Kluyveromyces lactis: one gene and its partners. The protein of the gene in region 7 interacts with the protein of the main gene of each other region in a biochemical or structural test. Links are inferred from orthologs where the notes say so. Each region holds a gene or a part of one and is shown on either strand. Other genes may lie near its edges. The genes, in order: SIC1, RCY1, SKP2, HRT3, PFU1, DAS1 and SKP1.

The links.
Region 1: the proteins of SKP1 (region 7) and SIC1 form a complex in vitro, tested with the Saccharomyces cerevisiae proteins (3 studies listed by BioGRID, with this or other methods). The link is inferred for Kluyveromyces lactis from reciprocal best matches to the Saccharomyces cerevisiae genes SKP1 and SIC1.
Region 2: the proteins of SKP1 (region 7) and RCY1 form a complex in vitro, tested with the Saccharomyces cerevisiae proteins (2 studies listed by BioGRID). The link is inferred for Kluyveromyces lactis from reciprocal best matches to the Saccharomyces cerevisiae genes SKP1 and RCY1.
Region 3: the proteins of SKP1 (region 7) and SKP2 form a complex in vitro, tested with the Saccharomyces cerevisiae proteins (2 studies listed by BioGRID). The link is inferred for Kluyveromyces lactis from reciprocal best matches to the Saccharomyces cerevisiae genes SKP1 and SKP2.
Region 4: the proteins of SKP1 (region 7) and HRT3 form a complex in vitro, tested with the Saccharomyces cerevisiae proteins (2 studies listed by BioGRID). The link is inferred for Kluyveromyces lactis from reciprocal best matches to the Saccharomyces cerevisiae genes SKP1 and HRT3.
Region 5: the proteins of SKP1 (region 7) and PFU1 form a complex in vitro, tested with the Saccharomyces cerevisiae proteins (2 studies listed by BioGRID). The link is inferred for Kluyveromyces lactis from reciprocal best matches to the Saccharomyces cerevisiae genes SKP1 and PFU1.
Region 6: the proteins of SKP1 (region 7) and DAS1 form a complex in vitro, tested with the Saccharomyces cerevisiae proteins (2 studies listed by BioGRID). The link is inferred for Kluyveromyces lactis from reciprocal best matches to the Saccharomyces cerevisiae genes SKP1 and DAS1.

The regions. Positions count from the first base shown.
Region 1 is NC_006040.1:496,913-499,650, reverse strand, and holds SIC1 (cyclin-dependent protein serine/threonine kinase inhibiting protein SIC1), read right to left. Parts: upstream 1,305-2,738; coding exon 501-1,304; downstream 1-500. Other genes in the region: GTPase-activating protein RGD2, read left to right, coding at 1-242; BOS1 (Bos1p), read left to right, coding at 2,011-2,013, 2,129-2,738. UniProt on the Saccharomyces cerevisiae protein: Substrate and inhibitor of the cyclin-dependent protein kinase CDC28. Its activity could be important for faithful segregation of chromosomes to daughter cells. It acts in response to a signal from a post-start checkpoint.
Region 2 is NC_006039.1:296,529-300,600, forward strand, and holds RCY1 (Rcy1p), read right to left. Parts: upstream 2,801-4,072; coding exon 320-2,800; downstream 1-319. Other genes in the region: KLLA0_C03278g (uncharacterized protein), read left to right, coding at 1-278; PRP21 (Prp21p), read left to right, coding at 2,877-4,034. UniProt on the Saccharomyces cerevisiae protein: Involved in recycling plasma membrane proteins internalized by endocytosis. Required for recycling of the v-SNARE SNC1.
Region 3 is NC_006041.1:662,797-666,642, reverse strand, and holds SKP2 (putative SCF ubiquitin ligase complex subunit SKP2), read right to left. Parts: upstream 2,499-3,846; coding exon 501-2,498; downstream 1-500. Other genes in the region: GAS4 (1,3-beta-glucanosyltransferase), read left to right, coding at 1-514; ZIM17 (Zim17p), read right to left, coding at 2,906-3,481. UniProt on the Saccharomyces cerevisiae protein: Substrate recognition component of a SCF (SKP1-CUL1-F-box protein) E3 ubiquitin-protein ligase complex which mediates the ubiquitination and subsequent proteasomal degradation of target proteins. Probably recognizes and binds to phosphorylated target proteins.
Region 4 is NC_006042.1:1,812,962-1,815,767, reverse strand, and holds HRT3 (SCF ubiquitin ligase complex subunit HRT3), read left to right. Parts: upstream 1-1,256; coding exon 1,257-2,306; downstream 2,307-2,806. Other genes in the region: CHA4 (Cha4p), read left to right, coding at 1-819. UniProt on the Saccharomyces cerevisiae protein: Substrate recognition component of a SCF (SKP1-CUL1-F-box protein) E3 ubiquitin-protein ligase complex which mediates the ubiquitination and subsequent proteasomal degradation of target proteins. Probably recognizes and binds to phosphorylated target proteins.
Region 5 is NC_006039.1:870,935-874,215, forward strand, and holds PFU1 (Pfu1p), read left to right. Parts: upstream 1-1,500; coding exon 1,501-2,781; downstream 2,782-3,281. Other genes in the region: BEM4 (Bem4p), read right to left, coding at 1-1,039; HNT2 (bis(5'-adenosyl)-triphosphatase), read left to right, coding at 3,014-3,070, 3,181-3,281. UniProt on the Saccharomyces cerevisiae protein: Substrate recognition component of a SCF (SKP1-CUL1-F-box protein) E3 ubiquitin-protein ligase complex which mediates the ubiquitination and subsequent proteasomal degradation of target proteins. Probably recognizes and binds to phosphorylated target proteins.
Region 6 is NC_006037.1:558,896-562,152, reverse strand, and holds DAS1 (SCF ubiquitin ligase complex subunit DAS1), read left to right. Parts: upstream 1-1,158; coding exon 1,159-2,757; downstream 2,758-3,257. Other genes in the region: PAM17 (Pam17p), read left to right, coding at 1-13; OAF3 (Oaf3p), read right to left, coding at 2,812-3,257. UniProt on the Saccharomyces cerevisiae protein: Substrate recognition component of a SCF (SKP1-CUL1-F-box protein) E3 ubiquitin-protein ligase complex which mediates the ubiquitination and subsequent proteasomal degradation of target proteins. Probably recognizes and binds to phosphorylated target proteins.
Region 7 is NC_006041.1:1,507,385-1,509,906, reverse strand, and holds SKP1 (SCF ubiquitin ligase subunit SKP1), read left to right. Parts: upstream 1-1,473; coding exon 1,474-2,022; downstream 2,023-2,522. Other genes in the region: PEX3 (Pex3p), read left to right, coding at 1-1,168; YSP2 (Ysp2p), read left to right, coding at 2,387-2,522.

The DNA of each region.
Region 1 (2,738 bases), on a different chromosome or scaffold from region 7:
TCACAACCCATTTCGAGAGACTAATTGAAATCATTAGAATGAATAAATCTGAAGAAAGTCAAGAACTTGCAGAAAATTTACGGGATGCCATTAGCCAAGAGTTTGCAAATTGCCTAATACATCCAATTCTGCCAACAGCTAATGAACTTGGATACAAAGTATTTGAAGATTTGTTGAGGCATAGAAAGAAAATCTTCAAAGAACTCAAGAGAAAAGGATCAAATCCATCATCCAGGGGTTGATGAAGGGTTTTTGTTAATATATATGACTTTTACATAGAATTAACACTCTGCGACGATCAAAAACGACAATCTTATTTCACTGAAATATTCTACGAAAATTATCGTAAGTATTGTATTTATAAATATGATGTTTTAGCAGTTTTTGTTATGTAGTGTTACAGGGGAATTCCATACCCTTCTTTCCTTATGAATTGTGTCGGTACCGTTAGCTATAGTTAAAAATAAAAAATAAAAACCCGTTTTATTCATGTGTCTTACCTACCCATCATGCCTATCTATTTCTTCAGCAAAGAGTCTCGTAGGTTTAAACCTTTGTTTCTCATCGTCAGTCAAATGTCTTTTAGAAACGACCTTCCCTCCTTTATTCACATAAGTGATTGTATCTTCCAAATCAGGGTCCTCAAGTAGCATCTTCTCTTTACGTTCTTTTCGCAGTTTTTCATCAGCAATATTATTCGAAAGAAATGGATTCTCTAAATTACTATGTTGGTTGACTGCCGTAGGTTGTTGTTCAATATGAATATTTTCTTCTTCGTTTTCTGATTGCGATGTATTCAGACCAGACTCGTTATGCCATTTTCTAGCAAGTTCAAAGGTGGTGATCTTGTCACTTGGAGTTCCTGGCTCTTGTTTAGCAAGTTTGAATTTGTTATTGACAGCATACTCATCATTGATATTATAACTTTGAACGCCTTTGAAAGACTCCATTATACCGGTTCTCTTTGGTGGTAGCAAAGTCCTGTTGTTTGAAGTTTCTTCTACTTGGAAATCCGATCCGAACAAGACCCTACTGACAGGTTGTAACTTCTCCTGGTCAAACTCTATCCTGCGTTTCGTATGTTTGTTCTTATGTGGGGTATATTCAGGTGTCTTTAATGCCGGGCATGGACTTGTTAAATTCATGGGTCTAGTAGGTGGCTGCAATCTATCCTTTACTCTAACTGTCCCCGGAGTAACCATGCCAGAGGAATCAGATTCCGCGGCTCGCTCTGGAGTTGCGAGCAGCAAATCTGTCTTATTTGATCTCTTATTCCTAGAACTTGGAGGGGTAGCTGGGGTCATTATTATGGAAATAAGAGTGTAATGCGTAGAATGCAAAAAAAAAAGAGGATAAACTCTAGTATTACCAATTGAAAGCTATTGATATTGTTTTCAGATGTATCGGTGTGTTGATGAGATCTAAATGAAAAGTAGCAAAGATGGTATAGAATGTATACTATACCGATGATATCCCTTTTTCTGTCTAAAACAAAACGGACTGAAAATCTGGCAACTTATAATGAAGCAAAAAGCAGAGTAGGTTGAAACCAGTTTCCAGTAACCTCACTATCGTCAAGAAGGAATTTGATATGAAGAGACTCTGATTCGATTACTTAGGTGCGTATGCAACCGCTCTATGCTGGATATGGTTCGCTGTTAAACTATCTTTATATATAGATATATGTGAGACTCAAAACCAGCATCTTTAATTTTTTTTTTAATGTGAACCACTAATAATATTGAACCAGCAACAATTTAGCAGTCATACTTGAGTAGCAGTAAATAACTTCTAAACAAGGATTGCGTCTGTGAGCAGTGGAACCACTGGAAACTAAGAAAGTTTATGGAACATTCATACGCATTGGGATAATTCAGATCGATCAGAATTGACGATTGACGCTCAACGTTTGACTCAGCATTTTCCTGTATTTCTCAAGAGTATTCCTTTCTTGAATCTTTTGGATCTTCATTAGCGATCAAGAATTTTTGCGATCACAACAGGGCTAAGATGGTATGTTTCGCTGGAGCGCTGCTCTAATTGTATTTCTACATTTATAGACACGCGTCGCGTATGTGTTACTTATTTACTAACTTACCTTAATTATTGTTTCCCACGATATCACTAGAACGCGTTGTATAATCATGCCATCAAGCAGCGAAGTCTTCTAAATAAAGACTTGGGTAAATTTGAGAAAGAGCTCGTAACAGCGCCGATCTCTTTGCAAGGGGCGATCGCCACAACCCTTGTTTCTTTCGAGAAAACGCTTCATCAGTACAAGGAACAATACAAGCAATATCAAATAAATAGTTCAGATGACAACGACGAAACTAAACTAAAGTATGAGACGAGACTTCAGACCTTAACACAGGATTACGAAGATGCAAAAGAGAAATTTACCGAATTGAAGCAAAAATACTCAGAAATTAATGCGAGAGATCAGTTGTTCAACCAGCAAGCATCAATGGTGGAAGAGACCGTGATGAATAAAAGGAACATCAATGCTCCTCCGCAAACATCTTTCGGAATAGGCGCCTTAGATCAGAACAGTGAAAGAATGACTATCAATTCGGCGGCTGGTTTACCACTATATGAAGGATTGAGGAAAGAGAACTCGATCTTTGAGAGAGGCAACGCGCACTTGGACAGAATATTACAGATGGGACAGGAATCTTTGGAAGATATCATGGAACAGAACAGGGTCCTTCAGAGATTGCAGTCTCAGATGACAAAATCTC
Region 2 (4,072 bases), on a different chromosome or scaffold from region 7:
GTTTCAGGGTTTTCCTTTTAAAACCTGGTTTCACCAGATTAGAGAGTTTGGAGATAACAAACACAGAAAGGAACCTAAAATTGACCATATCCTTAGAAATTATGAAACTGATACAAGCCATTCCTACCTTGAGGATATTGAAGCTAAAAGGAAACATTTATAACGAAACTTTAAACAATTTCACAAAGGTTGATTTTGACAATTGCATGAAGTATCTCGCGCTTGATAACGTCAAGGTATTTTACTCAAGTTTTTTTACCGAAGAACAAGAATCGTAAATAAATTTAATTCAGCATTAGTTACAAGATATACAAAAGTTTCAACAGATAACACAATCTGAAACACCTAGTCCATACATAACCTTCTCTACATCCTTACGAACTTTCAACCAGTCCGTTCTTCTTTGCACCAATTCGTAAATTTCCTCCTGTGTGAATACACCTTGGAATTTCCCCACGTCGCAAATTAATTTGCCAAGCTCTTTAGAATCTTTGCCAGAAATAAGATAAAGCTGTCCGACGGATTTCAGACCAGCAAAGTATGGAACAATATTTTTTTGTTTTAATTTCTTTGATATGAAATCATGATAATAGTTGAGATCTGCTATTAAAAATATGGCCCCATCTTCAGAAATTAGATGTTTTTTAATATTCTTTACGGCTTCATCAAAAAACCTTTCTCCAACTTCTTGTTGGAAAACATCAATGGTTCCTTTATCTGTCGCACCAGTCAATAAAAAGCAATGTTCTGAAAGAAGTTCAACACAAGCAACAGCACATTTCGAGGGGAGGATTTCTCTTCTTAAAATGTCCTTAGGATCTGGATTGAAATCGTCTGGGAACTGCATTGTGTTGAAAAGAAACTCGACTTGGTCCATAAGTTTATCGATACCAATGTTTAGCCCATTAGCAACATAATCATCAAGCATAGTTTCGAAGACTTTTTTAGTATGAACCACATCATTAAATATATCTTTGTTTTTATTAATAATTCCTTTCGCAATAAGTTCATTGTTGTAGAAAATAGATATCATTTGCAATATTATGTCGCCGATGTTAATTAATTCCGTGAACTGAACCAAAGGTTCGACTTTATTGTCATCATCTGAGGTGCCATTGATGCTGAGTTTTGCCAATTTTGTTTCATTGGCATCGTAATCCTGTAAAAGTTGCAAAGCCGTCTCGAACCCCAATTTAATATGGTTTTCACTTAATTGCCAGATCAAAGTCTTATAAATTTCTTGGCATTCGGCTTTGACTACAGATTCGAAAACTTTGATGGTTTTGAAATAATAAATCTTTTCCATATGTTCCCGGCAAGATTGAATGACCTTGTAACATAAATCAAGGCTGATTAAGGAAGTGATGTTCTGTAACTTATTATTTATCTTTTGCAACGTGTAAGACATCTCTAAGTCTTGATCAGCCTGCGATTTCGAAGCGTTGTTATTGATTTTGAATATTTTAGTAAAAGATTTAAGGAAATTTGTTTTACCGTCCAATAACTCCTCATTGGTTAGAGTCCTATCCTTTAAAGACTGAAACAACTCTTCGTCTTTTTCCCTCTGTTTAAGCTGAGTTTGTTCTTGATAATCTTTGAATGCTTTTTCTGTTTTGGTTGTAAAATCAGAGACCATTGTATCGAAAAAGTTCTGGATTTCTGGCTCCAAGTATAACTGAATGAATTCAGCTACAAATCGCTTATAAGATTCGCCTGCATTAATACTTGTAGTGAGTTTATCCACTAAATATACTGACATATGGTCACATATGGTCGGAAGAGCCATTATTCTGATATTATTCGGATCCAGGTCATCATTTGAAGAAATTTGTTTATTGAAATATGGTATTAGATGATCCTGGACAAAGTTTTCAGTGTATAGCACCATAACAGGATATTTATCCTGGAACAATTCATCAGTGATGGTAATTTTGTCGTTGAGGAAATCTCGAAATGTATTTAAAGCAAGTTCCAATTGGTCATAACGTAGATTGTCTTCCTCGTCGAATATCGTTTGCGGCAGCTCGACCGAATCTGAAAACTCATTTTTAGATTTAAAGAAGTCAACAGCACTCATTTCATGGCCTAATGATAGGAGAACTTCAACGAATTTTGAGCAAGTAAAATATTCCTTTTTATCAAACCTAATATCCAATTCTCTTATTATGCTGGTGGTGAATAACTCCTTGAATGTGTTGAGGTTTTCCTCAACCTTTTTATAATATGACCAGTCATTATCATTTGATTTGATGTACTTTTGGAGACTCTCTATTATCTTTGCTTGTGATACTGGATCACTGTATTCATCAGGGAAAAATGCTGTAACGTCATTGTAATATAGTTTGTCGGTAAAACCTTGGAAGAATTTATAAAACAGCATATACGCATTTTTCGGTCTCTTAGGGTCGAATTTTTTATGTATATCAAATATATTGCATGCATTTAGTGAAGTAGATTCGTCGAACAGGTAGCCAACCTCCGCTATCAGGCCTATGCCCTTAATTTTATCTAACCAATAATCTTTATCGGTAACTCCATTCAACTGTATATGGTACAAGTTTCTGTTGAGACATTGGAATGATAAATAATCGGATGTGTTCAAACTGAAGGCTATCTGTTTGACTATGTTACTCACTTTAAGAATGTCAGCAAAAGTCACAGCGGAATCCATAGTTAATAATGATGTCTCTCGTAAACCCAGTGGCATCAATGTGTCAGCATCCTCTGGAAATGTTCTCTTAATTTGTATGTTCCTTTTAGTTTTCCTCGATAGATCCACAATTTGTTCTCTGTTCAACATATCAATATTATTATTTATCTAACTAATATAAGAACTATTGAAACATTTGAAATATTGTAAAGCACGCACAAATGAAATGAATGAGACAGACAAGGGCAGTAAAACTTCGCAAGCTACAAGTCTGAATATGGACTCTTTTGACTATCTGTCTGTTCCAGATGGGGTAGAAGTGCCGGCAGATGAATCACAAAGGCGGAGCATATGGAAAACGGTTGAATATGTTATAAGGAACGGTGCAACATATGAAGAGAAGTTAAAGAGCCAGGATATTGGATTCACTCAACCAGGCAACAAGTACAACGACTATTATGCATTCCTTTTAGAGCATCAGAGATCAAGACAGGATACTCTGGTGTCTACTAAGAATGAACTGGATCGTAAACCGAGTGAACCCTATCCATTTGTCTATAGTACTTACCGAAATGATATAGGGCAAAAGGACTTGGAACTAATAAAAGCAGCGGCTCATTTTTGTGTTATCAATAATGATATTAACTACCTTGAGAAACTAAGAGAAAGATATGCGGAAGACCCTCGATTTGCATTTTTACGGCTTGATCATTCTTTGAACTCAGTATTAACTGATTTTATTAATCAATACGAACAGATTTTATCAGAGGAATACGGGCCTATAGTACGATTGGAGGGGCCGTTACAATCAACTATTCTCCGAAGGGCATTTCAGAAAGCAGAATATATGGAATTACAGGATGAATTGAAACAAAAGATGAAGGCAGACATAAAAACATCTAGAATAAGATTCTCGGCTTATGAATGGGAAAAATTTGAATTGGTAGGAACTGTGACTATTAGCGAAGAAGAAAACTTAGAACAGCTACCAGAAGCCTTGAATTTCGATATATTGAAAGCAACAAAGCTCACCAACGATGTTGACATTTTTAAAACAGAAGATGTCAGTGCTGCAGCTCAAAAGAGAAAGAGAAAGAATATGAATATAAGAAAGGCGGGTGAAACTAGATTGAAAAAGAAAAGCGGACTAAGCAACACCAGCGAACACATGCTCAAATGTCCAATTACAGGAAGATTGGTCCCAGAACCCGATTTTGATTCACACTTGAAAATCTTGTTAAGCGATCCTGAGTTCAAAGAAGTACGAGACAAATATGAATCAAAACATAAGTTAACTAATTTGTCTACATCAGAAGTGTACGAAAACATTAAGCGGATAGTGTCGCAAGACAACGCCAACCCTGTAAAAAGGCAGAAAATATAGACGTATGTATGCCTCTGTATGTATTAATTTGTTATATT
Region 3 (3,846 bases), about 840 kb from region 7:
AAACAATTACGGCTTGGTCTCAGTTAATGAAGAGACCGGCGATGTTTATCTATTAGAGGACTTTGAGGCGCTCAAAAACCAATACAAGCAAACACCACATCCAACAAGCACAGACTTAAAAATAAGTCAAGACAAGTCTACATCTAGGATAGTTAACAACAGTCCTGCATGTACCAACAAATACACCAATTTGGATATCACTGCGAAAGTAGTTCCGAAATTAGCCACTGAATTTATCAGAAAGGGTGTTAAATGCGATAAAGGTAAATATGTGAATTTAGACAAGTCAGACTTAACTTGCAATAGCAAATACTATGATGCAAATGGAAATCAGTTAAGTAGGAGCCCAAAGTTCTCGATTGTCAATGAAGTAGGTTCCGTGAAGTTAACTGGACCAGAAAAAAAGGCTTCAAACTCAGGAAATGGATTAAGACTCTCTAGAACAAACCTCATCTTAGGATGTAGTATGGTGCTTGGCTTTATTTTAGATATAGTTTCAATCATGTTTTTTTAGAATTTCCATAGGAATATAACAAATATCCAGCATTATCCTTCACTGTGACAGGTACTCTGCCATTTAACACAGGTCGTAATAAGAGTTCCCAATCATATCTCGTACGAGGAGTGCAGAACAACCATTGACGTAACATTCGAATCTCAACGGACTGAAACTTAGACAAAAGCTTCAAGAAGTACCAAACGTTGACATTAGGAATGTCCTTGAAAGAGTTAATCCTATGGAAATCATTCCATTTCCTGGGTGAAAAATCTTCTTCAGAGATGTCTATATCATTATTGAAATGAGTCGCTCGTTCAAGATTTTCTTTTATTTTTGGATCCCACCAATACTCGTCCAACTCATGGTTATTTTCATCGTCTGAATTATCGTAGAGGGTGTCTTGATCACTAGTCAAAAAGCGTTCCCACACAAGTTCAGGAACTAAGGGAAATACATTCGTGAAGGGGATATTAACTATTGTCAAATGTACTCCTGAGTTTGGAATCCGTTCCCACAATCTTTTGAAATGATGGAAATAAGAATGGAAAGGAGATATCGATGAGGATCCAAAGTAATGTGCTTGTTCTGTTGTTAAAAGTGCTGGTTTCCGTGGTGTGCTAGCTTCGGTGTTTATTAACTTCCCATTGCTCATTACAACAACCACTGGTGTAGTTGGCGGTGGTGCTGTTAGTTTTACACCTTTCTGAGGGTCTATCAGTGTCTTGAGATCATCCATATCGTCCTGCATAGGTTCTTCTGGAAAATAATATGACTCATCAGTAGGTTTGACATTGACAAAGCATGTACTATTACAGTCTATGGTTAGGTGCGTGAGAGAACCAAAGCAATTTATCAAAAGGAGATCATATTTACTTTGAAGATCAAACAATGATAACTTTCTGACACGGAAAAAGAACGAGTACAATAATCTCATAAGTCCATTACCAGCTTTGATGACACAGGATTTGAGTTCCAATGTTTGAACTGGAAGATGTAGATCCAAACATTTGTCGTGTCCTATTCGCATATATAGCGGCAAATATTCCAATGGTGTATCAATGGATTCAGGAGTAATGGTGATATTTTCCAACATTAACTCATCAAAAACACCAAAGCAACAAAGCAAGTTAGGCTTTAGAACTAGGTTAGTCTTCGCCTTGATAGATAGTCGTTTGAATCTAGATAGAGAATGGAATGTTTCCTCGTATTGTTTAATCCAATCACTGGAAACCCTAAATGTTCTCAAATCCTCTACTGTCATTGACCCTTGACCTTTAATAATCTTCTTGAAGAAATCCTTAGAGCCATCATTTAAAACTGAATACCATAATGGGATCTTGAAGTTCTTCTCCACCTGAGAGAGAATAACGTGTGAAACGTTAGGAAGTGAATCTATGATATTTAGCATCAATTCAATGTAAGTGTAGTCAAGGAATTTAGATTCAAGTTTGGAAAGTTGATGATATACCTCTGAAGCACCTTGTTTAGTTCTTGATCTTGTAGAGGACACGGATGCAGATCTAGACGATGTTCTGATATCTGTCGATCGTCCCTGTCTTTCACTGAATGAATACGAGCCACCTATTACAGTGTCCGCAAACCCAGTGTTATAGTATTTGCTATATTTGAACAGAGAATCATGATATTCTGGATCCACGAATTCAACAGTTTTCACCAGATAACTGATATCATTTCTCAGAGTAAGACTTTTGCATTCAATCAAAGCGTTGAATTTTAACAATGCGTTCTTATTCATTAAAACCACATGTTTAAATAAAAACCTTTCACAAATTAGCTGATATAACTTCTTGTTGACTTGTATCAGTGACAAGTATGTTGGAATATCAAGATTCTCCAGGATTCGTTCCAGCAATTTATCTGGTAACTTCAAAAGGTGCGGTCCAGTAGGCACTAAAACTGACTCTTTGGTATTCAATAAAGGCCTTTCGCTTTCAACACTTCTCCTACTTCCTCCTCCAAACAACTGTAGTCCTCTCATTTTGCTTAACAATTAGTCTGTCGGGTAAGCCTGCACAAACATACAACAGGTCCATTGACAAGTCGATCATCAAATGGTGTTATCAGAGATTTCTTTCTGTACATATTGTTCATTTGCGTATCTATACAGGTAAATCTGAAGAGTTCAGAAGCTGGAATTTCTAAGTTAACGATTTTTGTCCGGAAATGTCAAGAATAGTTCGCTATTCACGATGTAAGGCACAAGAAACAGGCCATAAAATGGCTCTGAGTGAAAGCACTTGCGTCAAAAAGAATGCATGAATGATTGAAGTAGTATAAAATATGTGTATACAAAAAAGCTCGTACGAAATTCGTAAACTATAAATAAGTGATTACGAACCCTTGTCTCTTACTTCGGAGAAGTAAGAGCAAGCATTCGGTATATATTCATTTCTCAGTACTTGGCAAATGATGCACTTTTTCGTTGTCCAGTTTTTTCTTCATTTCTTCTGGAGCATCCTTTGCGTAGTGACCAATAACATTCTTCAACGAATCCGGAATATCTTCAAATGCCAAATCGTCGGTGGTCAATGAGACAGACTCACCTTCTGCCTTCATGATATCCTCGATAGTAATATGATTATCGTTAAAGATTTTCAAATGGTCTGCAATAAGATGTCTATTGTCACAGCCAGGACACTTTATTAACACAGTTCCCTTAGTGTATGCTTGTTTCGACATTGTGTGCGATGACCTAGTATTACATTTCTTACAAGTGAACGCAATCATTAACATCGGTTTATCCACTTTCATGGACCCTAAATTTTTGAATTTAGCAGCAGCATCTTCTGCTTCATCAAGCTTTCGCACACTCGCATGGAATCCTCTGGTATTGTACGTAGTACGCACCAGGTGACTAAATAGTGGACGATAAATTTCAGGCGATGACTTTGTAACCGGTCTTATGATTCTGATTCCATTCTTCGCAGCATTGCGAACGACCAAACCAAATCTGTTCATCATGTAATAGAAAATTTAAATTTGAACTCTTTGAACTGCCTCCCTTTCCGAAAGGTTGATGCGATACTGGTTTTCAGTTTATATCAATCATCATCCATAGAGTCATTCAGTAACTGTCAGTTTTCCCTCTCTCTCTCTTTATCGCACTTCTAACTTTTTTTTCTTTTCAATATCGATAGAAAATCTGAAATGAGAGACTATGAAGTGAGAAGATGAGGATTTCCATTTCAGAATAAAAGTTTACGCGATCTATATCGAGCTTGGGGGAGAGGAACAGGGCCAACCGAGCGCTTTTGGAGAGTTATAAGTTAGCCAAAATATACATTGGGAGATATAGAATTTTTAGAGGGTTTAATCTAAGAAATTGG
Region 4 (2,806 bases), on a different chromosome or scaffold from region 7:
CACTTGATTGCAGTATTGTTTGGTCGTTCAAATTCTTTGCGTGTGTCAAATTCGACAATTCCAGAAACTGATGAGCTACCAAATATTGATACTGGTATCGAAGATTACCAATACGATCCTACAATTGTAACTTCTATTGCCAAACCTTTAAAAAAGATTATTGTGCTATCAAGAATAACTGAGGTTTTCGCCCCGAAGATATTCATACATGCCGGTTCTTTAACGGAAAGAAGGGAATATCTAACAAAATTCAACAGTGAAGTTTCAAACTGGCGTAAGAATCTACCTGATGAGTTTGCTCTCACTAAGGCAACGCTAATCAACTTCGATTACAATCCTATTTTGGCTCATGTATGGTATCATTATTTTGTTATCCTTTTGTCCTACAACAAACCGTTTATTGATTCACTTCCTGAGAGTAAACAGGCGATAGAAAACGCAATTGAAGAGTTGTACTTTTTATTAAGATCGTTTATGAGAAAATTCAAAACATTCCAGAAAAGTAACATTTATATGCTGTATTCTTCGATTCTTGCAATTCAGTGCATAAAAACTGGTTCAATTAAGAAGGACAATCTTTCGATATTCTTGGAATTTCTAGGATCTCCGTCATTGAACTACGAGCTAGCCAAGAAATTTTACGATAATGAAATGAAAATGTCAAAAAGTAGCAATATAAATGCTAATACTGGACTTGAAAACACTGCACTCTTGGGAAGTTTATCTAATGGTAATGAATTTGCCTTTGAATATAATTTTGATTTTACTTTATTGAATGAAATCGATAAATTAATCGGTGGTGACATAACAATGAAATAAGCAGCATCTATACAGCACTACACACTTTGCACTTTGTTTTAGTTCCTGCTTTTCATTGATGCACCAGATCTTGAAGGACTGGCTATTTATGATTTATCGACTGTGTTTCTTGTGATATTCACATATTAATGAACTTTGAAGTTATATAGCTCTTCATATATTAAATATGCCATGTACTTAATATTACTTTTTAGTCAGATAAGAATCAAGAAATCCGATTTGCTGAGGATGGCAGCTACTGACAAGGAATCCACTTCATATTTTTCAACATTGTGCGTACTTGTCCATCTCTCGGTAGTAACTTTATATTCGTTCCTGTTGCGTAAAGCTGAACAAAACGTAAACAGCATAAAAAGCTAGTCGGCTATATAAGGTAAAAGAGAGAGGAAGCATACTCATTACCAAGGGGCCTAACGCACGAAAAATAACAACGCGTAATGGAGGAACCGATTGAAGCTATAGCACTATGGGAGTTGGGCTATTCGAAGGAAACTGCCGGTGCTATGACCGACGCGATCAAATATTACCGTAAAGCATTAAGGATGAATCCGGACGTTGAGAAACTATATAGAAAGAAGATGCATGATGAATGGCGGTTAAATGAAGAGATGAAAAAGCTTAAGCTCAATTCTAATGTCAATATTGTTGATGGTTCATCGGAAACTGATCCGGACGGCAGAAAAGAGGAAACTGAAGGACTTTCTCAAACTGAAGACCTTGTTGAACTTCCCTGCTGGATTTTGGATATGCTCCCTGACGATATATTATCCATGATTATAGACATGGTTGTGTTAAGCTCAGCAGACTCGTGGATGAACCTATCTTTGACTTGTAAAAAGTTTAATTTGCTATGCTTCCACGATTCCTCACCGTACCGGACTTTCGCGGAATACATCTATAAGAAGCAAGTATACAACGAAAATGAGATGAGGCTAAACGGTATATCAGATATACAAGCACTAGCAGAAACCGTATGGGGTCAAAATTATAGAAAGATGCTAAAGGAACGGCCGTATATCAAGTTCCATGGAATATATATCAGTGTGGTGAATTATTTGAGGCACGGATCGATCCCGGAAGGATCATCTTCGCTGTTGAACCCAATCCACATGATCACTTATTACAGGTACTTCAGATTCTATCCAGATGGAAGATGCATTAGATTATTGACTACTGACGAACCAAATATAGTGGTACCTGGTTTCTCTTTAGAAAGATGTTCTGAAAGAAAAGACTCAGATATATGTTCGTGGTCCCTGTCATTAGACGACGGCCTTGATCAGTTGACAATCAAGAGGAATAGAAGAAAAGATGGGCTTGAATTTAACGAGATCTTGAAAATCTCAAACAGAGGTCACAAGAAGTTCAGCAAGTTGAAATGGATTGCTTCTTCTGCAACGAGGCAAGACGGCACAACAATGCAGTTCTCATTGAGCAAAGAAAAACCATTTCATTTCTCGAAGGCGAAGTCATACCGTGACTGCTAGATCAGGGCTGTCATATTTGATTACTATAACAGCCAGAGAGCTGTACTTCCATCACGACTAATGAGTGGATACTTGTAGCTCGCGCGATGCTAAGTGATAGACGATATACGAGAAAAGCCCGTTCACGTGATATCTTCTTACACGTGACTTTAAATCCTCTCCATGTGAAAATGTCCAGAGCGTCCGGATTTCAATAGAAACTGACGAAAAGCTCGATTACCGGAAAACATCACAGAGTACATCTTAGTTTATAGTAAGGTCCAACAATGTAATGTGAATGAATTATTGGAGGTGCGTTGCAGAAAAACATATAGCCATTGAGTGATATAAGTTGCTATATCGAGTTATTACAGCGTTGACTATTAGCTGGACTATTAGATCTGCGGAGTTTGATATATGAGTGCATGGAGATTCGAGGTACAAGTATACCTAGATTTGTTGCGTTTGATAGATTTATAAAGTACCCATCTAATTATAAAAGGGTATTTTGGACGCAGGCA
Region 5 (3,281 bases), on a different chromosome or scaffold from region 7:
TATGACATTGTAGCAATTTGATGGAAATATCGACATCTTTCCCATTGGAGTAGGATTTATTACTAGAAACGTTAGCAATAGAAGAGAGTATCTCCCTATTAATGATCAACTGGTTATCAAATTCTTTTGAGCCTAGATTTTCGAGTGATGTTAATAGATTGTGTTGGAGGATAGAAGTGTTGACCTCATCGGAAAAATTGTAATCCTCAGGTTCAGAAGTCTTCAATATACAATGTGAGATATTATTGACCAAGCTGGGTAAAAATGTATCTTCCTCTTCATCTTCAACTTCTTCAATTTGCGCATCATTTTTCGAAGTATCAATTTCTCCAGAATTGCAAACTGCTATATTGGAAGTGCTTTCAATGCATTTACAGACTTGAATTAAAACTTCAGAAAGGGAAACGAGCTGAACCAAAGATAAAAACTTCTTATGATCTACAAAGGAGCATAAGAGGTCAAAAGAAGTTCCGACAAGTAGGTTGTACTGTTCGTCTAGAAATACATTTTTCATAGAAATAATCAATTTGAAAAGTGGGACAGCTACTCTTCTTGCTGCTCTTTCATAATAGGTATCGTTATCCATGGCCAAGTTAGAAATTAAAACAACTGTCCTCAATTGCAATTTAACAACGTAGTCTTCCTCGTCAAATAGACCAAGTATCCTGCCAGCGTAGTAGTCGATAAATTCGTTATGTTTGGTACAGTCGCCATTCCAAAATACCTCCCTATTAGCATCATTATCAACCAGGCAATTTGCAATGGATCTTACTAATTCTGAAGAGATTTGAAGAAATTGTATCCGTTTACTTGATTCTTGGAATGCATAATCCAAAAAGGAATTTAGTACCCTCAACAATTGACTTAATAGACCAGTTTCTCTAATAAGGTCTCTGTTTGATTCAGCACGTAGATGCACCGCTAATTGTTCAAGAACTGTAATATAACTTTGTAAAAAGACGTCCTGGACAGGAACATCCTTTGGATTAGCTGCATTGAGCAATGGTTGCAAACCAAATAGTATCTGCTCATATTCCATTTTTGGACAATGGACTATGGGCTTTAATCGTGGTTATCATTTTTATAAAGTGGACAGTCTCGCCAAGACCGCACTTTCAATGATCGATCTTTAAACATACAATTGCTGACTTTTTAAGATTCTACTCATAAATGTCAACAACACACATAGGTAAACAAGAAAGGTAAGGTCATAAAATAATACTGGTTTGACAACCCATGACTAGAATTCTCTCGAATATTATCTTGATTATGGCATGAGTTAACAGGACTCGGTAAGTGACCTTCTGTAATAGGTCAGATGACCTATTATTTCATACACATAATAATACTTTCGGTAGCTGCAAACACTTTTAAATAGTGAAAAATCGCAAAAGTTGAGCATTAGTAAAAGCATCGACTAATTGCTAAGAAACTAATAAGGTAAGTAATATATTTCACATAGTCCATCTATGAGAACATATCCGACGGCTTCAAGAAACTATGGCTAATAAAAGAAGGCCAAAGAAAGTAAAGCCTCCTTATAGAAAATATGTTGGCGGTGTTGGATTCACACACACTCAAGGGTTCAGTCAAATAGCTGAAGAAAATGACACAACGAATATCCAAAAGTTTAATGAATTACAAATAAACGAAATACGTAATCCTTCTGATAGCGAGGAATCACGACTACAGGGAGATTCTGTCCGATCAGATGTAACTGATTACGGTGGTATGAAGCTTCCACTAGAAATATTTGACCTTACGATTTCTATGATGAGTCCGCAAGATATCAGGATGAACTTAGTGCTAGTGTGTCGAGCATGGTATCTTATATGCATACCAAAATTATATCGTACACCAAAGTTAACTAGTCGAAACTTTTTAAAGTTTGTGGAAACGGTATTGGCAGATAGGAAGAGAAAAACATGTGAGCACGTAGTTCATTTGGATTTATCTCCTATTATACAGAGTGGGAAGAATAGCTATGTGTCAAAAGTGCTACGACGTTGCTCTAAAAATTTGGTTTCATTTACAGCGCCACAGACTAGTTTTGGAATAGCTCCTTTGATCAGTCTTAAATCCTGCCAAAACCTTAAATACCTTGATTTAGGATTGGTATCAGAAACAGTCAATTTAAAAGAATTATTCTTGGCGATCAAAAACTTCCATGAGTTAACACATTTATCGTTTCCAAGAAGTTCCATTCAATGTGACGGATATAGAGACTTCCAATGGCCCCCAAATTTACAATATTTGAAGCTCAGTGGTGGGATCACAAATGAGTTCGTGCAAGAAACGATATTTCCTAATACCATCAAAATCTTAGAGTTTTCATTTTGTCCCCAAATTAATGAACATTCAATATACACAGTATTGGCCAAAATTGGTGATAATTTGACACAACTATACTTCCATTATCCAATGCCAGCCTTAAAGGACAATTCCTTGGATCATGTATTCAGGTACTGTTCCAATTTAAAAGTACTACAACTAATGATAGATTATTGCACCAGATGGGTTTTCAGTGAATACTTCTTTACGCAATTACCATATCCTCGGCCGCTTAGAACCCTCATATTGGAATGTAGCGGCCACCTTGGTCAAACATTCAAAGTACATCCTGATGACTTAACTATAGCGATATGTGAGGGTAGATTGCCTTGTTTAAAAATTATCCGAATTTCTTCTAGGCTAGGTTGGGACTCTCAAGGCGATGACGTCGGCGATTTAGTCTCGAGTTTGGAGGAAGAAAACGGCGGGAGCATGTATATCACATACTGAATGCAGTGAAAATATATAACACATAAAATTGATAGAATTTGGACATTTAATAGCCACAGTGCTTATCGGTTAGAATGAATACTCTTATTCAGAGTGCTATTAAATCCTATGCGTACCTTTACGTTGCATCAAAGCCTAAGAAAAATACATTTTTATTTAGATGTCGGATCTTGGCTAAGAATGGTTTACTTTAAGGACAAAAAGATAGGGCCGCAGCCAACAGTGAATCAGAATGACTGCAGGTTCCATCTTTTTCAGCAAGTTTGTTGTTACAAAACAAGTTTTCTACGTATGTGAAATACCATGTAGAGGATATACTTTAATTAGCAAAGTGCAATTATTGCTTTGAGTGATACCTTCAATTTACTAACCGTTGAATTCACTACTCAATAACTTCAGAAAACTAAATATTCATACGCGTTGGTGAATTTAAAACCTTTATTTCCGGGCCATGTGCTAGTTGTGCCGTTGCGTACCGAATGCCTTTCTCTCTCTGATCT
Region 6 (3,257 bases), on a different chromosome or scaffold from region 7:
TGAGTTCTTGTGAAGCGGAAAAATACCAGAAAAAGTATGATGACTATCACTCTCCCACCCAAGGAAACGCCTTTCCGTAAGTACAAGTAAATAGTAAATAATAAATAGTGGTTGATATCTAAAGAAACATTCGTTAAATCAGCATTAGCAATTGCGTAATGGTATATGCCAGAGAAACCGGAATGAAAAGGATCGATACCCAACAAAAAAAAGTATATTTGGATGCGGCGAGGTTCGAACTCGCGCCTGTTAACATTAACAGACCTGCATATTCCGGGTAACCGTGTCCGTCACTCGCAATCCACTTCTGCTCTACCCGCACCCAATAGCCGCCAAGCAATCAGTGAAGATTTTCTGGAGGACCCACAAATTTTTGATTTTCGGACCAGGCCCCTTACAACTCGCACAAAACTGCGTAGAAAACCTCTGTTTAAAGGTTTAAGGAAACGGCTATCGCAATTTTCTTGGCCCCCCCAAAGGTAAAGCAGAATGTGTCAATTGGAAAGCGACGGAGACGGTTTTGATGCCGCATTGAGTCCGCATGCTCATTTCTTGTCCCTGAAGCAGGCGCCTTAACCACTCGGCCACACACCCAGTTCTTATACTGTTAGTAGTTCAACTAAATTGGGAGTAGTTCTTCATTTCAATTTATTATATTCCAGCGCAGTGTAGCCCCTTTATTAACTGGGTTAACTGGGTTTCTTCGATAATCTACCGGTTGAATATGGGTCTATTTACCCCAGTTATATACCATAAAATGGCTCTCTGGAAGTTCTTCTTCAAGGTACCCGGCTGTTCTGTCTGTTCTTTTCATTGATGTCGCGGGTTTGATTGAGGAAAGGAACGCATAACGGATTTCCGTACAATGTGATCTTCATTTCTACTCACGTGACTTTGATTTCAATTTCTTGGAATTCGAAACTTCACTTCCGTTCGTTCTTTGCCAGGAATTCATTACCCTTTAACATGCCTACCTTATGCTTGAATACAATAGCCCAGTCATTCGATTCTTATTGCCGGCTTCTACCATCAAAAACACTAAACTTCTTTCACTCTTGATGGCTGTATGCTGTATATTAGAGGAGCTTTATGTTACTAAGAGGAGAGATTGCTGTTTAAAGACGCCGTACAAATTGCTCTTTTGATTACTTATTATCCATGATTGATACATTCCCACTGGAATCACTTCCAGACGAGCTTTTAGCTGAAGTCATTACTCATGTACCGCAGCGAGATAGATTGAACCTATGTTTGGTGAATAAACGGGTTTCAAAACTAGCACTGCCGATTTTGTATCGGAGAATTTATTTGAACGATTCGAATGTAGTAGAGAGTGATATAGTCAACCTCGCTATCAACTGGACATACTTGTACATGCCCCCAAACGAGGCAGAGTGCTGGTCTCGTGGGTTGGCTAATGCGAAACTTGATCTTCTTATACGCACTTTATCTAGGAACAGTGAAAGGTTGAATTCCATTCAATGGATACGGATTAATTGGGATTTGGATAAAGAGAAGCAGGCAGAAGTTTTAAGGTTGCTATGTACGTACTCTAAATCCATTATACGATTGGAAAACGTTACGGACCCGGATTGTAACGATATTATTGCAAATGGAATCCAATCGCGTCATAATGTCACCAGTTTCGATAGTGCCCCACCTAATTCCATGCCCGAGGGAGAAGTTTCCAGAACGTATTTGCCTAATTTAGCTCAATATTTAAAGCAACGGATTTCTTCTAACTTGTCACACATGACTCTTTTCATGGATCCCATCCAGTTGTTCAATTGCATATACCCATTGCAATTTAAATTGCAAATCCATGACTTGAAACTACATTGGAGGAAAGAATATTATCCGCCCGATCAATTGAAACCGCTGAACCAATACCCGAAGCTTACTAAACTTTCAGATGTCTTCGATGTGAGAACTTTAAAGGTGTTAACAATCATATCATGGAATGAGAATTTGAATAAACGAGAATTGGAAATTTTGACTGAATTTTACGAGTTTACAGAAATTCGGGATTTATCTCTTATATCTATGAGACAAAATCCAGCCATACTCATCGAACTTTTCAAACGTTTGAAGAATTTGAAAAGGTTGAAGACAGATTTTTTGCATGAGTTCACTCCACATCCTGTTTCAACGGATGTATTCCTGTCCATTTTATTAAATTGTAGAGAGCTACAATTCCTAGATTTGAGATTCGAAAATATCGACAGGCAGATCATTTCTATCGAGGGGTCAAGGTTCAAATTCTTACATAACTGCCATTGTGATGATTGTAATCATGTGTTTCAGGATATACTATACGGTAAATTTTTCAATTCGTCGAAAGATATGGTGATCAGAGATTTAAGCGATTTGATCGCTAAGGATATATTCACAATGATGAAATACCTCTCTTTATTACCTTATTCAAAAGCATTTGACATATACCCTTCTGTTAGGACACAACCAATGAATCTCTCGGACTTCGTCACCAAGATTAATGAATACAATAGGCACTATAAATCCATGCATAGAAACTCAACCCCGATTGAACCCATCACAGAATCTGACGTCATCAAGTGCTATCATGCAATGGTTCATCACAATAAAAAGACATATACAACTATACTCTCAAATTTGAAAAGATTACGATATTTGGTTTTGAACGACGTACCTTGTATCGTTCTCGAGAGAGAAGGTGCCCGTGTTCCTGTTCCAGTTTTCTTTAATAATGGTTACAAATCGAATATGGGAAATTGTTAAATATTGTACTTTTCTATACAAGGAACAAGAGGGAAAGTACCAAGCCCAAAAAAATTATGGAAGAATGCTGTCCATCTTGGGGAGTTCACCTACATCCATCCCATAAAAGAGGTCAAAATCTGTTGAGTCAAAGACTTGTTGCAAAAATTGAGTGACATCTATTGCATCTGCCTTGGCCGAATGCCTCTCTTCTAATTTTTCAAGAGCGTGCTGATAACTTGATGAGAAGAGATTTGGTTCGTAGTTTTTACACATCATTTCAACTTTCAAATTAACTACTTTTTCAGTGAAACTGAATCTGGCATTCCAGACTTTTATTACATCGTCGTCTGACATTTCTGCGTCTTTACTGGTTATACCCAATTTTTCTAGAACTTGATGATTCTCATGTTTTAGAATCGTCAACATATGATCTAATGAATCCTCTCTATTGATCAAATTTAAAGTTAGTTTATATTTGAACAATCTTTTGAATACATGATAATAGTATGGGAATTCAT
Region 7 (2,522 bases):
TCTAAAGGGGAAAAAGTTACAGAAGAAGCTTTCCAAAGGTGAAATAGCTGGGAATGAGTTGGAAAATGAGGGCTTAAGTTCAGGAATGAGTGCGATGACGCCTGCACCCAGTGTGTCAGCGAAATCTCCGCAATCTGCAGATACCACTAGCGTTTCTGAAACGTCTACGAAATCCAAGGCCGAGCTTTGGGACGATTTGAAACTCAAAGCTATCACCAAGATCATTATCTTGTCCTATACCACATCATTATTGATGCTTTTAACCCGATTGCAATTGAATATATTGGCAAGAAGAGAGTATTTGGATACTGCCATCAATTCTGCCATGGAAAAGGAAAGGGAAAAGAAGGCTAATCAATACTCAGTCTTATCTTGGTTCTCTAGTTGGATCACTGAAAAGAGCAACAATTTACCCAGTGAAAAAGCTGACCCAAGAAACAGCGATGGTACTATTGACACGGACACAAGGAGCATTGCATCCACTGCGAACCCTGAAAAATCGAGATACGTTAACGAACAAGCTTTCTTATCCTTATCGTGGTGGTTATTAAACCGTGGATACCTACAATACAAGAGTATCATTGAACAATTGGTGAAAGAAGAGTTCCAAAATTCGAACCCAAGAGATATCATGACAATGGATGAGTTCAGTGGCAAGATAAGCAAGATATTCGTCACCACAAACAAGCAATTCTTTCAACAGCCACAATCGAATGAAATGTTCATTTCATGTCTACTTCCTGAACCTAACTTAGAGAGATTTGTTCTTCAACAAACTTTAGAACAAGATGCTTTGAAAGTACTATACGAGGATAATCTATTACTAAAACAACTTGTACAAGAGACCAACAAATGCCTACAATCACCTGGAACATGGATTGTCCTGGAGTCTTTAATCGATGAAACATTCCACACAATCATGGAACAAATCGAGGATAATGTCAACAGCAAATCGAAACCTAAATCGAATGATGACGACACCAAAGTAGTCGATATATCCAAAAATTCATATCAAATCGCATTATTCTCTATCGCCACGAAAGACTGCACAAACGAAATGTTGAAAGCGGGACTCGTATCAATGAACAACAAGTTCCTACAGAAACTACACTCCATCTCGGCACTTGACGATCTCAGTGCATGCGTATATAGTAACTTCGGTCTATGAAAACCTTACTTGGCCCTCCATTCAAGTACTGAAATCGCTCCATACCGTGTATGTAGATAGTTCTATAGTTAACGTTACTCTTTCACTGGCACTACGGGGTTTCTCTTCCTGTTTCTTTAATGGCCACGTGATCATAATTTTCTTTTCCTTAAGGTCAAATAACGAAAAGAATCGAATTCCCAACAGGTTGTCAATCAACATGTTATACATCTCAGTTAATGTTTGCAAGTGGATAGGAGCTTGGTGTTTGTAGTTAGTTAGCACCATAGAGTTACCAAGTGGGTTCTATTTAGTACCAGAAAATCATGTCCAAGGAAAACCAGAACGTTGTTTTAGTGAGTGTTGAGGGAGAGAGATTTGTCGTTGACAGGAAGATCGCTGAACGCTCACTTTTACTAAAGAACTACTTGCAAGATCTTAACAGTGGCGATTTGCATGATGATAACGATGCTGACGATGACGAAGATGATGAAGAGGATGGTGACGATGAAATAGTGATGCCCGTGCCCAATGTGAGGTCGTCAGTATTACAGAAAGTGATCGAATGGGCCGTTCATCACAAGGATTCCAATTTCCCCGATGAAGATGACGACGATTCGAGGAAAGCTGCGCCTGTGGATCCATGGGACCGTGAGTTCTTGAAAGTGGACCAAGAAATGTTATATGAGATTATTCTAGCAGCTAACTATCTAAATATCAAGCCATTGTTGGATGCTGGATGTAAAGTTGTTGCGGAGATGATTAGGGGCAGAACACCTGAAGAAATCAGAAGGACCTTCAATATCGTTAACGATTTCACTCCAGAGGAAGAAGCTGCCATAAGACGTGAAAACGAATGGGCAGAAGACCGTTAAACTTACAAGTTTTCTTGTTGTTTTCTCTTTCTGTATCTACATCCTCTTCAGTTTAAAATAGCAATTTCCCTCATTTCCCGTATGTAATCAATAATTTAAGTACTTGCTTGTTAAGCGGATCTTAATTGAAGTAGTGAATTTGAGTCATGGGCAAACGCAGGGATCGCTTTCATATCGCATTTATAGCTTCAAGGTCTGTCTCTGCACCGATAATTTTTCATTTTTGTACCTATATATAATATTTAAAGAACGCGCTACCTTAAATTGAAACTTTTTGCTTCTGGTTTTATCTATTCAAGGCAGAACTGCATCGATAGATGCACCATAGGACCCTTGTTACTGGTATACTTGGTGTAGGATTGTGATGACGTTGACCATTGGTGAGGAGACCAAATCCAGACTAAGATCGCTAAGCGGGAATACTAGTTCGTTGCTAAATTTAAACAAACGCAAGAAGAAGAACAAGGAAAAGAAAAAGGATAAGGACAAGAGTCAACCAA